Alligator mississippiensis: one gene and its partner. The protein of the gene in region 2 interacts with the protein of the main gene of each other region in a pairwise test. Links are inferred from orthologs where the notes say so. Each region holds a gene or a part of one and is shown on either strand. Other genes may lie near its edges.

Region 1 (7,349 bases), on a different chromosome or scaffold from region 2:
CCATTGACAGTAACTCACTCAATAAAAACTGTAACTTACTCTCCCAATTTGGAGGTGACTATACTTGCAGAACAACGAAGGAAGAATCGCAAGTGTAGGCCGGATCAGATTGATCACCTGAACCACCCTCTCCGTGAACACGAATCTCTTAGTTCACGCTGAAGCTGCAGAGTGCCCGAAAGGGACTGAAAGAAGTGGACTTAGTCCTATCAGTATTGAGGCCAGCCCATTGAATCGTATTGCTGAGGCGAACCCATTGAACTGTACTACTGAGGCCAACCCATTAAATTGTACTACTGAGGAATGAAACCGTATTTAGGTGTTTGGCTTCTCGGAATTCTAGGATTGTAAGTATATTATGAAAAATAATAGTATTGATTCAAATTTAACTTTTAGTTGTAATTGCAGTTGTTTTTGTAATACTCATTCTTACAGCATTGTTTGGGAAGGAAGTGCATTTGGAGCATTGTTTCTGATATATGTAGTTATTGTGTTCTTAATGTTTGTGGTATTTCTAAGCTAAGCAGTGTTATATACATAGCAAAGAGTTTTAAAATAAAATTGTGTTGTACGAATTAAGTGTGCAATCATTGTGAAATCGTGCAATCAACTAACTACTCCCCCAGCCAGTGCATCAAAACAAATCAGTAAATTGTGTGGGATTTTCTCTATTCCATAACCCACTAGAGACACATCCCTTGAGAGATTCTACACATGTAATTGAAAATAGAATTTATACCATGTTGAGTCCCTTAAATTTCATAAATATATATTTTTGGACTTGATTACAGAAAGCATTGAAAAGCCAAGTGTCTATCAAATATGTTCAGTCATTAATCCGTATCTATGTGTGTGATATCTCAAAATATCTACGTATTTTAAGGTCAGATACTGTAGGCCTCACTTAAGATTTACATCGGCAAAACATTAATCAAACTCAGTATATCAGATCCTAAAGTCTCTTCACCATTTGTGTTTGGTAATTAGTTAGATAAACCAGTCCTGGAAATAATGGAAATGTTGCCTAAAATGTAGAAGCTATGTAAGGAAAGGACTGCCCATAATTAAATACATTTTTATTGCTGTTCTGTGTTAGCATCAATTTATTAATTTCTTTTCTTCAGCTATGTGATTTATTCTTACTGATATTCTACAGCAGGATATATAGTCCTATTTTCTCCTGATATGACGCAATTAAGCATACAGTGGTAAACAATAAGACTAGAAACTTCAAATTAGCCTTATTTGTTGGTTCCAATTCTTGAAAGTTCAGTTTAGGAGAGGGGTGGGCAAAATGTGCCCTCTGTGGGGCAGATGCGGCCCACCAAGCCATTCTATCTGGCCCACGGGGCCCCTAAAAAAATTAGAAAATTAATATTTATCTGCCCCTGGCTGCCTGTCATGTGGCCCTTGATGGCTTGCCAAAACTCAGTATATGGACCTCCACCTGAAATAATTGCCCACCCCTGAATTAGGATGAAGAATAGTTACCAGAAAATGCAGCTTTGAATTTTTTTTCTTTGCCAAACTACATTCTTTTGGATAGAATCTGCCACCACCAGAAGTGGATCCAGGATTTTGGTAAAGGGGTGCAGAAGCAGCAACCAGTGCTGGAGGTGTGGCTTCATCCTCCAACCAAGGCAGGTGGACTACCCCATGAGATTTAAATCCCCCAATCTGGTAAAAATCTTCCCTCCCCTCTCTCAGTCCCTTCCCTTCCATTCCATGCTCAGCAGCACTTCTCTTCCCCTCTCACTCTCCCCTCTCCACATCCCCTGACTAAATTGGGAGAGGTTCCAGAGTTGCTCCTGTCTCAGTCCAATCAGGCTGCATGGACAGCATGGCTCAGACAGGGACAACAGCAGTAATGGGTGGGTTCTCCTTCTCTGAGCCTACTCCCAGACTGGCAAGGAGCACCCAGAGGATTGGGCAGGAAGGAGAAATCTGCCCATTGCTACTGTATCAAGCTGAGCCTGGTTACCCACGAAGCTTGACTAGAGCAGGGCAGGAGTGGTTCTGGAGCCACCCCAGCCCCAAAGCAGCCATGGACAACAGCTCCGGTGGATTGTGGGGCACAGGGGGCCCTGAGCACAGAAGGGATGAGGAGAATTCTTACTTGCTTCAGAAATGTAAAGAAGTCCCAGACTGCTACTCCCACAATGCCAACTGAAAGAGGAGTGCATCTGTGCTACTGCATCCCCTCTGGATCTGCCACTGGCCACCACAAACATGAAAAGGGAGTTTAACATTTCACAATAAGATCCATGCCTCAGGTAGCCATTGTGGGTATCATTGCATACTGTGACAGAGCCCTTATTTAATATTTCCACCAACACATTTCTTTATATACTTCTCAGCTTGAGTGTTGGATTTCATCAGTATAATAAGATCCTCCACCCATTTGTCCAGCAAATTAAAGAAAACAAACGTCTCCCCATCCACCAGGACCTCAACAATGCACCTCACCATTGCCTAAAGTTGTACAAGCCTTTCTGGATCCATGCGCCTAAACTTCAACAATAAGACTTCAATGCTGATGAAGCTTGGAAAACCAAATGGAATTCACAGGAAGATCCAAATAAACATCTTGTGATAGATTCAACGCTAAATGTCCAGGCTTGATCTCCCACGACGCTTATGGGCAACTCTAATCCATATCTGTACAAAACACAGGAGATGTGGATACTTGATACACAAATGGAAAATTAGAAACTATCCCTTGCGTGACTGTGGTCACTCAGAACAGACCATGGAACATATAACGACTCAATGTCTGATCCACAGATATAAAGGAGGCATCACAGCAATATACTCTGCTGCTCCTGACACAACTTTCTGGCTCAGCCACCTAAATGTAAAATTATAGTAGCTGTTCTATATCTCCATCAGCCATACAAAAGAAGACGAAGAAGACGTATAATCAATATTATGAGTGAAATCTTCAGCCTTACTCCAGCCCTTCACAGTATAAAAATGTTGGTGCAGCAAGACATGGATTCCCTCAGTGCAGGCACAACAGAAGGCTACCTCTGAAGGACCTCTTCACAAGCCTGGGTGTTAAAAGCGCACTGGTCAGACAGCACTACAGTCATGCCTAACAGCTAATTTGCGTACACCTCTAATTTGGGATACTGTAATTTGGGCAGGCCTTCAGAGCCTACATTACAGCAGCAGCCTCTCTAACCCTGCAACAGGCTATGAGTACCGGGCACAACAGTGGTTTCATGCAGCGTTTCCCAACCAGTGTGGTGCAGCACAAAAGTGTGCCATCAAAAATGAACAGATGTGGCATGAAATTTTGCCATGGCAATGGGCTACAACAGGTATGAGGATGGGGAATGCCTTAACTGGTGTGCCATGGAAAATTTTTATTAATGTAAGTGTGCCTTGGGCTGGAAAAGGTTGGGAAACACTGGCTTAAGGGACAACAGCACACTGCAGCCCTCCACAGTAGTCCCACTGTAGTTTTTCCATTCTAATCATTGCTGATTTGAGGCACAAGGTGGTTTTCTACACGACAGGGCCACATTTGCATGGACTAAACTTGGAAGCTTCCATCGGCAATTAGGACTGCTGCTCAAGCACCTCCCAATCAGGAATAACAGAGAAAACAAATAGTCATAAATGGCTGTAGCTGTGCGCATAGTTGATGATTTTAGAAAATAGGGAGAGGTAGTTAGACTTGTTAGCCTGCAGTCTGGCAGATGGCAGGGTACACAGGCACCTTTAAAGACTAGCTATATAACATACAGAGAGAGCACACACTCCCCTGAACCCATGTTCCTTTCTCATAAATGTGCTTGAAACCAGGCACATCTACATGGTCATTTAGATACTGCACGTTTAGTTTAGCACTTGCTTAATAAAGTACTAGTAGCCCATGGTTATTTTGTGATGTTTCCTGCACGTGAGCCTAATAACCCTGCACAGTATGCTATTTGCATGGTTTTTAACCACCACACTACTGCACAGCGTTATTAAGCTAAGCGGCTCCTCTAGACACACCCACTAAAGAGGCACCACTAGAGACTTAACTAGTTACGGTGTTACTCAAAACTAAGACAACCCTCCATTTAATACGACTTCCCCCAATACTACAGTTTTACACATGGAAAAATATATAAACTTGTTTTGTTTTTCCATGCATCGAATGTAACTGTAGGACAGTCTCTACCCTTCACCCCTCCCACCGCTGCCCACGGCGAGGCGCAGCGGACTAGCTTTCCCTCCGCCCCGGTAGGCTCCACCCTCATTGCAGAGGGGGGCTGCGCGCGCAGCTTCCCCCAGGAGGGAGCCCACGGGCAACTGGTGACGTCAGCGCGGCTCTGGCTCCACCCCCTGGAACGGAAACGATGCTCTAGCCCTGCTGGCGGTTCCGCTCTCTCTATGCTTCGCCAGTGGGCCGCAGCCGGAAGGGGGACGAAGTTTTAATGGCGGCTTCAAGCACCGCGGCTGTCGTGGGGGGGACGCGCGAGTCCGGCTCCGGGGCCGCGGGGCAGGGGCGGAAGAAAGCCTACGGCAAGGTACGGCGCAGGGTGGGAGTGGGGGAGGGGTGGCGGTTGGGAGCTCCCTTCCCCCTCCCCCCTCTGCGTCCCCTGTGACGTCAAGGCGGAGGGAGGGGGGGGAGCGGGCGGGGTCACGTCTCGCCTGCTCGCCCGCTGTCGCTTGTGCCTGCCCCGCTGAGCTGTTGCTCCATGCCCTGCCGCCTCCTGTCCCTCTTCAGCAGCTGCGTGCTCGCCCCCCAGTAACGCTGCCTCCAGCCTTGCCTCTCACCAGCGCTTCGCCGAGCACCCGCGTGGGCCCGCGCCTCGCTCTGTCTGTTCACGCTTCTCAGGGCCGACTAGGAGCTGCCGCACCTGCGAATGCAAATCTTAAAAAGAAAAAAAATTATAATAAAAAAGAGGAGCCCACATCTACTCCGCTCTGGGAAATCCTGCGATTCGCTCCGTTTGAGCTGAAAGCTGCTCTAAGAGGAAAAAAAGAGAACCGTGTCTATTTCTTCCCTCTCCAGCTTGAAAAGCCATCTGCTTCTGCGTTTGTGCCAAGGATGCGCCTATAAATCAGTTGAGCGAGGACTGTAACGTGCTTCCTGTAAACGTGTGATTGTGGAAGGGCGCAGTGAAGGCGCTTCCTCAAAGTATGAGTGCAGCTGGCGCTGCAAGTGATGCCCTCGGCCGCCAGTATGGATGCCTGCCAAGGACAGCAGTTGACAAGCTGACAGTTTCTCAAAGTAAACTTGGCTTAGGGGAATAGCGAGTGGTTTTAATCGTTTATTTCGAGTGCACCTTCCGAGCATTCAAGCCTTTGACAAACCTGCACGCTTGAAAAGTTGTTTAAATTATCTCAGTTCTCTGTTTTGCCCAGCTCACGTGCTGTATGGGGAGTAAGAGTTATTCAGAAATATTTCACTTATTTGGAAAGGAGACAAGAAACAAAAGCACCCCTAGTACGAAGCCTGTGCTGTTATCTTAGCCACATACTGCTTGTTATATCTAGCCTGAAGTTATATTTTTGTGAATGTCAAAGTTACTGCATAAGTATTGGACATTTGCATAATGATTTGATTCAGTGTGTGGTATTTATCCGTCTCTTCTTTAAATGTAATTTGTAATATGAAATCTCCAAAGGAATTTGGAAAAGAGGTTCCCCTAGGGGTAAAAAAAAAAAAAAAAAAAAAAAAATAATAATAAAGCAGCTCAAACGGTTATTAGGAAGTTTAAAATACTCAAGGAAATAATTAGTGTAGCATACACTCTCTATCAAGGAATGAAGACCAAAATGGTGGACAAATGTTAGTAAAAATATTAGTGGTAAAAATATTAGACAGAAAAAAGAACAGTTTTTGTATCCTTTGTATATCTGTTCTAGAAACAACCAAGAGTTTATGGTCACTTTAAAGCGGCACCACCGTAAGCATGAATGTCATTTGCTTTCGCTCAAAAGCTAAAATTCTTAACATATAAGGGAGGCAACATATAGTTTACTCCAGACATTTAACAGTTATTTCTCTGCATGTAGACTGTTTCCTCCAGTGTAGTCAATAAATCCTGCCTGAGAGCCAGATGGGAAGGAGGTTGGGGAAGGAGCAGACTCTCCTGCTTGCCTTATGTTTATCAGATAATCCTAATTCAAAGGTCTTTAATGATGAGAATTTTAAACCTAATGCAGGCGGGAACATCCATTTCTTCTGCTTCCCTTTCTACTCTGCATGAGGCAGTTGCACCTGGTGATGGCAACTTGGAGAGAAACGTAGAAAACACATGGATAAATCTCCAGGCTGCCAGACGCCAGGTGGGGCTTACCCATGTGCTTCTGTTTCTGGGAGGAGCATGGGTGGTCATGTCAGAAAGGACTGCAGCAGAAGTGGGCATTCCTGTCTGTATGAAGTCCACCAGATAACCCTAACGCAGGCAGGAGCTCATGCACCTACCACAGCCACTTTCTGATCTGGGCAGTTCCACTTGGCCATGGCTGCAGCTGCTGTTGCAAAGCCCCCGTTGAGAACCACTGAAATAAACTTAGGCTGTGGAACAGTGGTTCTCAACCAGGGTGGTACCAAATTCAGAAATGTTATAGAGGGGTGCCCTGAATGCAAAAAGGCTGAGAACCAGTACTGTATGGTGTAATATTCGTCACTGTTTCCATGCTATCCAAAACTATTGCTGGGGATCCTGCACATCTCATGGAATTTAAATAAATAAGGAGTTAGGAATAATAGAATATAATAATAAACAATAGTAAAAGCTGTTGCTCTATAGGATAAATCTGTCTTGAAACTAGTAGGGAATTATGTACAGAACTGGCTAGAAGTTTTGCACTGGAAATGGCTTTCATGCTCGCTAAAAATGGTGCCCCCACAAATAATTTGATTTTGGAAACATCTGTCATGCAAAAGACCACTAAGCTATTGTGTATATAAAAAGACATAATTATAACAGCCATGCATAGTCATAATTACATTCTAATTATGAAACTAAATTTCAAATGCACTTATTTTTTTAGGAAAACTCTAAAGCATTACAATCAAGGGGATTTCTGCTGCAAAAGCTCCAAACAATGGCTTTACACAGCCTTTTGTAAAAAAAAAAGAAAAAAAAGAGAACCTATTAACTTATCTGTTTCATATCAGGAAATCATTGAGTCTTAGACAGTTGGTGTCATTTTCTTTTATATTGGTCTAGATGTTTCATGAAATATTCAGTTTTCCTCTTCCTGAAAGATTATAATTTTGGGGTGGTTATCTTTTTGTCTGATGTGACAGCCCCAATAGTTCTAGAGTTCTTTCTTCTAGGGTACAAGTGGCCAATACTTCAATAAATTGATAGTACAGTGTTTTAGGACAAATATGT
Region 2 (6,980 bases):
TACTGAGGGGAGTGCCTCTTGAGTAACAGCTCCAGACAGAGTGAGACATGGTGAGGAGTCACATTAACACACACAGTTTTTGTAACTGCCTGTTTATTTTCTGGCAATCCCAGTAGAGTTGAATACTTGTATATGGTCAACCCTAGTTGATTAATTGCTTTGTGTTTAATGGATAATTCTGTAGTCAGTAAAGCTTCTGATGGATTATCAAACAAGTGCTGGTGATTAATGGCATAGTTCTCCTCACCCACAGAGAAGTAGGGCTTGAGTTTCAGCCCAACCAGAGTCCAGCAATGACCAGAAAGACCTTTAGCAGGGACTCAAATGTTTTCCTTTCTAAATCTGGGCACCACCAAAGGAGGAGGATGGGGTGGCACAGGCACTAAGGTGCACAGTTGACAGCCCAGAGATCGCAAGACTAGGGTCATAGCTAGTAGTGCACCGACATCAGTCTGATGTTGGATCAGCACCAACATAAAAAAAGTTGACTGTATCAGAAATCAGCCTGTTGTGGCTGATAAATGGCCCAAGCATATGCACGAAGCACAGCCTGGCAGCTTCAAGAGCTATGGCCAGCTGGTAAGTCTGTTGTGGTGGAAGGGGCGGGGGGGAGGCCAGATTAAGGCCCCCCACGGTGAGGGAGGAAGTGGGGCTGTGGCAAGTGCTGCCCAGCCAGGGCAGGGTGTGGAACGGAGCCGCTGCTCGTCCAGGGGATGTGGGGGTGGGAGGGCTCCTGCCACTCTGTGCACCCTGGGAGGCCAGATGAGCTGGATACCACTGCTCTAACATGGGTGTCCAATTTCAAAGAGAACGTTTACCATTAATACCTTGTCACACAAAGTTGAAAAAAGAAAGGACAACCAAAGGAAGGTTACATTTTTTCCTGATAAAATATTCTTCTGAACAATTTTTTCAGTTTTATGCACCTCAATGATAACTTAGCTGGAATAATTTAAATCAATTGGATTGGTCATGTTAGTTCTTATTAAAAAGCTTCTAATTTGTATATAATCATGATCTTACTTCAACTAACAAAACGATTATTGCATGCTACTAAGTGTATTTTTTTAGAAAAAATAATGCATAAACATTTTCAGACCAGTCCAACTCAATGTTTGTTTCTCACATTATTTTTTTACTAACCTATATAGTACCACAAGCATCCCTTCTTCCTTAGATATGGCTTATAGAAAGCTTTTTTGTTTAAAACAGAAAACCAATGATGAGTCCTTAGTCCCTCAACCTGCCTCTCCTGCAATGCTGATACTTGTCCTGCTGCCAAATTCTGAAGCCACGGTGAACCCCACAGGCCAGATCCAGAGCACAGAGCTGCATCATCTGGCCTGCAAAGCTTTCCACAGGGCTGGAAATTTGATGGCAGGAGAAGCAGCAGCTGCCAAGACCCTGAGAGTTGCAGCAATTAAGCACTAACACAACCACCGGCAAATTCAAGGCCCACAGGGCAGATGACATAGCTCCACACTCTGCATCCATGGGGCCAGATGAATCGGATACCACTGCTCTAGATGGGTGACCAGTTTCAAAGGGAAAGTTTATCATTCCTACCAGGTTCACTCTTAAAAATGTGATAAAATTCCCTTAAAAGAGCTAGCCGTCTCTTAAAATGCTGTATTTTTAAAAGCTTACTTTTAGTTTGTTCCATCCTTTGGAGTAGTTGTACACACGTATCATGCATCCAGAATTTAGTTAGAATATTAATGTTACTAAATCCAGGCTAATGAAGGAGAACAACATTATGGACTTGCTGCCCTATAACTGCACACCCCAATCTATTATATTGCTCTCCTACAGAGTTGCGGACAACATTTCCAGCGATGGCTAGTAATTTTAAACATCATGCATCTTCTCTCATCAGCAGTGCTTTATCGTTGTAATGTAAACTCTCCGAGATGCCGCTCTTCAACTCGCACAAGTACTTTTCATCCTTTGATCAAAGTAGTCCACTCCTCTAGAAATAAAAAATTTAAAAAAAGAGTTTGCATAGTATCCACTGGAACAAGATGTTACCAAAGAAGCTGCCAAGGCTGCAATGCTATAGCACAAACATTTTCTTTATTTTTGTTGATTTGATTAAAAATATTGAAAACAACTTTACAGCAATTGGCAAATGCTAGTAAGATCTGATGAAGTGAACTTCATCTCACAAAAGCATGTGCCAGACATATGCTTTGGTTAAATTTACAAGATGCAAATAAATCTTCTGAATCGAAAGGAATTTGAATACAAAGGATAAAGGGAGGAGGCACTAATGAGAGAGGTAGGCTGAATAAGTCTATAGGGATCAACAAGGCAGTTCACTCTTTGAGGACCACTGGGGCTATAAAAGCTTGTTCAGGCAACAGAAGAAAAATCCGTAGTCTCTGTTGAGACCCGGCTTCACCCCTCCCAGGCCCACGAGGCTGAAGGTGATTCCTTGTTCTGCAATTTAACATTCAGGTCATTTTTTAAAGCCAGCTGTTTACAAACTGCTGCTCCAAGGTCCCAGAAGGTTACAGTGCTTGGTGGCCGGCTGGTCAGGCCTTCGGCATCTGATGAAGTGAGTTACAGCATATGCTATACGTAGAATGTACAAACACACCTAATACATGCATACATATATGCAGATACACATATGTATGTATCAGCAAACATACACACAAGACTATAAAAGCATGTGCGTGTGTACACATATAACATGTATATGTATACATGCCTATACCATATTGACCTGAAAATAAAACAGCAGCCGCCCCATTCCCACCCCCGCCGCGCGGTACCTGTCACCGCCCGGAGCCTCCTGCACGGCGAAGCCCGGAGGGGAGAGAAGAAGCATTAAACCTTTCGAGGCCCAGCTCCACAACGCCCCAGACTCTTAACTAAACCCAGCCCGCCGCAACAAACCACCGAGAGCGCGCATGCGTATCACTGCAGCTTGCTAGTTAAGGGAAAGCATGTGCCCGGAGCAACAGCGCATGTGCAGAAGAAAGAAGGCGGGCTTTAGATGGGCGGAAATTGAAACGTGCTGCGCTGATTGGTCACGCGGCCAGCACTCCCTACCGGCGCGGGGAGGCCCCGCACGTTGCGTACAACAGGCGTAAGGGGCGGGGCAAGGAGATACGAGCCAATAGGCACCGAGAAAAGGCTCCTCGGCGTCCGCTCTCATTGGCCACAGTGGGTGTCTTGTCCAGAGCGCGTTCGCCAATGAAGTGAAGCGGCCGGAAGCGGAGCGGCCAGGAGCCGAGGTGCGGTACGTGGAGGAGAGGTAGGGCTGTTTGCCATGTTGGATAAGGGAAAGGGGTGGGGCTGGGGCTGGGGCTGGGGCGGGGCGGGGCGGGGCGCGCTGCCCTCACTCTGGTCGGAAGCACCGGCTCCGGGGTAGGACCACTGCCCGGGATGCCAACTGCAGCGCCCAGGGGCGGGACGGGGCGTGCGTTGCGCTGGGCGCTGCTCGGCCGCGGCCGGGGAGATCCGAGTCGCCATCCTCCTCCTCTCGCGGCGGCGGGAGGCCGGGGCTAACGGGACACACCGCCCCCAAGCGCGGGGCAGGGCCGCGGGGCAGCCCGGGCGGGGCGCGAACCGACAGACGCGTAGCCAGCGGCGTGCGGAGCTGTGTCGTGGGGAAGGGGCAGATCGAGGCCCCCGCGGCGGGGGGGAAGAGGGACAGTAGCCGGGGCGGGTTGTGGGATGCTCGGAGCTCAAGCGGCTTGTCCGTGGGCACAAGTCTGTACCAGTGCCCCTGCGCCCCTGGACGAGCCGCCCGAGCTCCGAGTGTCCCACGACCCGCCCCGGCCGCGGGGCCGCATTCAACCCTGTGTCTGGCCCACTCTCTCCCTCCCTGCAGGGGCTTTGATCTGCCCCCCATGCCCTTCCCCCCATGCCCTTCCCCATGACAGACCCACAAACTGGTGGGGGGGTGCATGCACACATAAACGTGTGCTCGACCCCCCCCTACCCCCCAAATATTTTCTCTGTCCTCCAATAGGTTTTTTCCCTTTTGGCTTGGTCACATAAAAAGTGACAATATCTTTATAGGCCTTCCAGTTTTCAACCTTTTTTGATTGTTGTACAACCTCCCAGGTGGCTAGACACAGAGCAGTGTACCCCTGGCTGCGGTGGAGTGTGCGTGGCTGGATGTCAGTGGGGGGGTGGCGTGTGGCTGGATGCAGAGTGGCAGCAGCCCCCACGTGCAAGCTTCCCCTGGCCACGCACCCCTGCGGGGTGGGGAAAGCTCAAACAGCGGCTGCCTGTGCGTACCGCTCGAGTACCCCCAGGGGTACACATACCCCTAGTTGACAACCCCTGTGCCAAGCTGTAGCTCTGTTAAGCCAAAGTGCTGGAAAGCAGCAGAAAGGGGTTGAGCTAGAAAGAAATACATAAAGCTGCTGTAACAAGCAGAAAGACCCCAAAAGAGCACAACAGCAGCAGTTGCATTAGTTAATATCTCACCTGAACAAGTGTAAGAGCAGATGTGTCAACTTGGCAAACAAAGGGTGCAAAGAGAAATGATGATTTTCCACCAGTCCGGCCACAGAAAGCAATTTATAGCCCTAACCAAACACAAGGGCATGGCTGCAAACAACTTAAAAGAAAGCCCATTGGGTGAAAATCTGATCTGTCATTGCATGAGGTGTCAGATAAAGATGTTACAGACTAGCATCTCTTGTGGCTTGTCTGCCCAGCTCCCAGCCTGTTGCTGTTTTCAGAATGGGAGGGAGGGGGAAAGGGGGCAGATGGAGTTCAGTCGGGGGGGGGGGGGGTTCAGCCCCCTTCCCCCACCATGGGGTGAGTGTATTTCAGCTCCCTTGAGGTGGAGGGGCTCCAGTTCACTCACCCTTCAGCACCAGCTAGGCAGCCCCATCCGCTGCCTCCCCCCTTCCCATTCTGGAAGGAGCACTGGCAGACAGACAGGGAGAGAGAGAGTCTGTTGCTATGGGAACCTGGCTGCAGGCTCGCAGGCCACAGCTAGATTCCCCTCCCCCTGGAACAAACTGAACTTCTGTTTGGTCTGGACTAACAGTGTAACTCTGAACACTTTGCAAAAATGGTTCTGAGTTACAGGTGGGAGCTGCAGTTCTGTCTGCCCCCCCCAAAATAATTAAGGGTGAATAATTAAGGGTAGACACAAGAGTCGTGATAGATGTCATCTACCTAGACTTTAAGAAGGCCTTTGATATGGTATCACATTCCATTCTCATAAATAAACTGACAGGCTGTGATGTAGATGATTGCATGGTCAGGTGGGTAGCAAATTGGCTTAGGGGTTGCACACAGAGTGGTGGTGGACAGGTCGATATTGACCTGGAAAGATGTAGGCAGTGGAGTCCCACAAGGCTCAGTCCTTGGACCGGTTATTCAATGTCTTAATCAGTGATTTGCACAAGGGTGTAGAGAGCACCCTGTCCAAGTTCACAGATGGTACCAAATTATGGGGCAAAGTTAACACACCAGAGGGTAGGGAATGCATCCAGGCAGATCTGGACAGGTTGGAAAAATGGGCAGAACAAAATAGGATGCAGTTCAACGAAGACAAGTGCAAAGTGCTGCACCTGGGCAAAAAGAACCACCAACACACTTGCAGGCTGGAGGATGACCTCAGCAGCACAGCAGTGGAAAAGAATCTTGGAGTCGTAGCTGACTCCAAGATGAACATGAGTTGTCAGTGTGATAAAGTGATCAATAAAGCTAACCGTGCTTTATCATGCATTAGCAGATGCATGACAAACAGGCCCAGGGAAATGATGCTTCCCCTCTATGCAGCACTGGTCAGGCCACAGTTGAAGTATTGCATCCAGTTTTGGGTGCTGCACTTCAAGAGGGATGTGGAGAATCTTGAGAGGGTTCAGAGGAGGGCCACTCATATGGTCAGAAGCCTGCAGGCAAGGCCCTATGAGGAGAGATTGAGGGACCTAGATCTCTTCAGTCTTTGCAAGAGAAGGCTCAGAGGTTATCTTGTGGCTGCCTATACATTCATCAGGGGAGGGCAGCAGGGACTAGGAGGTGCTCTATTTTCACCCCCTGGAGTAACTAGGAATAGTGGCCACAAGTTGACGGAGAGCAGATTTAGGTTGGTCATTAGGAAGAACTTCACAGTAAGGATTGCCAGAATCTGGAATGGGCTTCCAAGGGAGATGGTGCTCTCCCCTACCTTGAGGGTCTTCAAGAGGAGACTGGACAAGCATCTAGCTGGAGTCTTCTGACCCCAGCGCTCTTTCCTGCCCAGGGCAGGGTGGGGTCAGACTTGATGACCTACTGAGGGTTCCTTTGGACCCTAATGTCTATGAATCTCAACAGAGAGGGAGAGAAAAGAGTGGGCATGACATGGGGGTGGGGGAAGAAGACACAAGTATAAATATAGGAGTTGAGAGGCATTCCTTGTAGAAAGACCTAGGGGTGCATGAATAACGTATGGGGTCTCTACCAGTCTGCTTCTCCAGATTGGACTAGCGGTTAATCAGACCAGCTGGTGTTCTGTCTGACAACAAACGTTTCTGAGCTTTTGCTACCAAGCATGCATCTGAGTTGTGTTTTCTACATCACTTATGGGATCTGGAAGCCGGATTGCTAGTGTCAGCCTTCCACAGCACACAGGCTCCAGCAACCCATAAAGTTACAGCAACCAGATACTGCCTGAGAAAATGCTCTGTACATCTCAAAACAGTTGAGCATTTTTTTTTTTTTTTTTTTTAAAGCTTTCCCGTCAACAGTGACATCTGACAAAGTTAGGTTTTTGGCTAAAACCTGGCTGAAGTCTGCTTCTTATCCCATGATTTTAATGTACAGGGAAAGGTGGAGGCATTTTTGGCATCACTTCCTTGTCTTTGCTGGAGATGCATCAATTGATGCATGCCAGAGTATTATTTGTCCTACTGGCTACAGCATCTGCTGGCTCATCGCACTGCCAGCTCATACTCATACTGTGGTCTATTATTACCCCCAGGTTCCTTTCATTTGTGGTGCTAGATAGTTTGGTGCCACCAAGC

Evidence for each region.
Region 1: the proteins of SETDB2 (region 2) and ARL14EP interact in binary tests that used the Homo sapiens proteins (3 or more experiments, as listed by UniProt). The two-hybrid records come from large-scale screens. The link is inferred for Alligator mississippiensis from reciprocal best matches to the Homo sapiens genes SETDB2 and ARL14EP.

The regions. Positions count from the first base shown.
Region 1 is NC_081825.1:207,226,651-207,233,999, reverse strand, and holds the start of ARL14EP (ARL14 effector protein), read left to right. Parts: upstream 1-4,342; 5' UTR 4,343-4,523; intron 4,524-5,011; 5' UTR 5,012-5,230; intron 5,231-7,349.
Region 2 is NC_081824.1:414,414,300-414,421,279, reverse strand, and holds the start of SETDB2 (histone-lysine N-methyltransferase SETDB2), read right to left. Parts: upstream 3,023-6,980; 5' UTR 2,778-3,022; intron 1,970-2,777; 5' UTR 1,697-1,969; coding exon 1,648-1,696; intron 1-1,647. UniProt on the Homo sapiens protein: Histone methyltransferase involved in left-right axis specification in early development and mitosis. Specifically trimethylates 'Lys-9' of histone H3 (H3K9me3).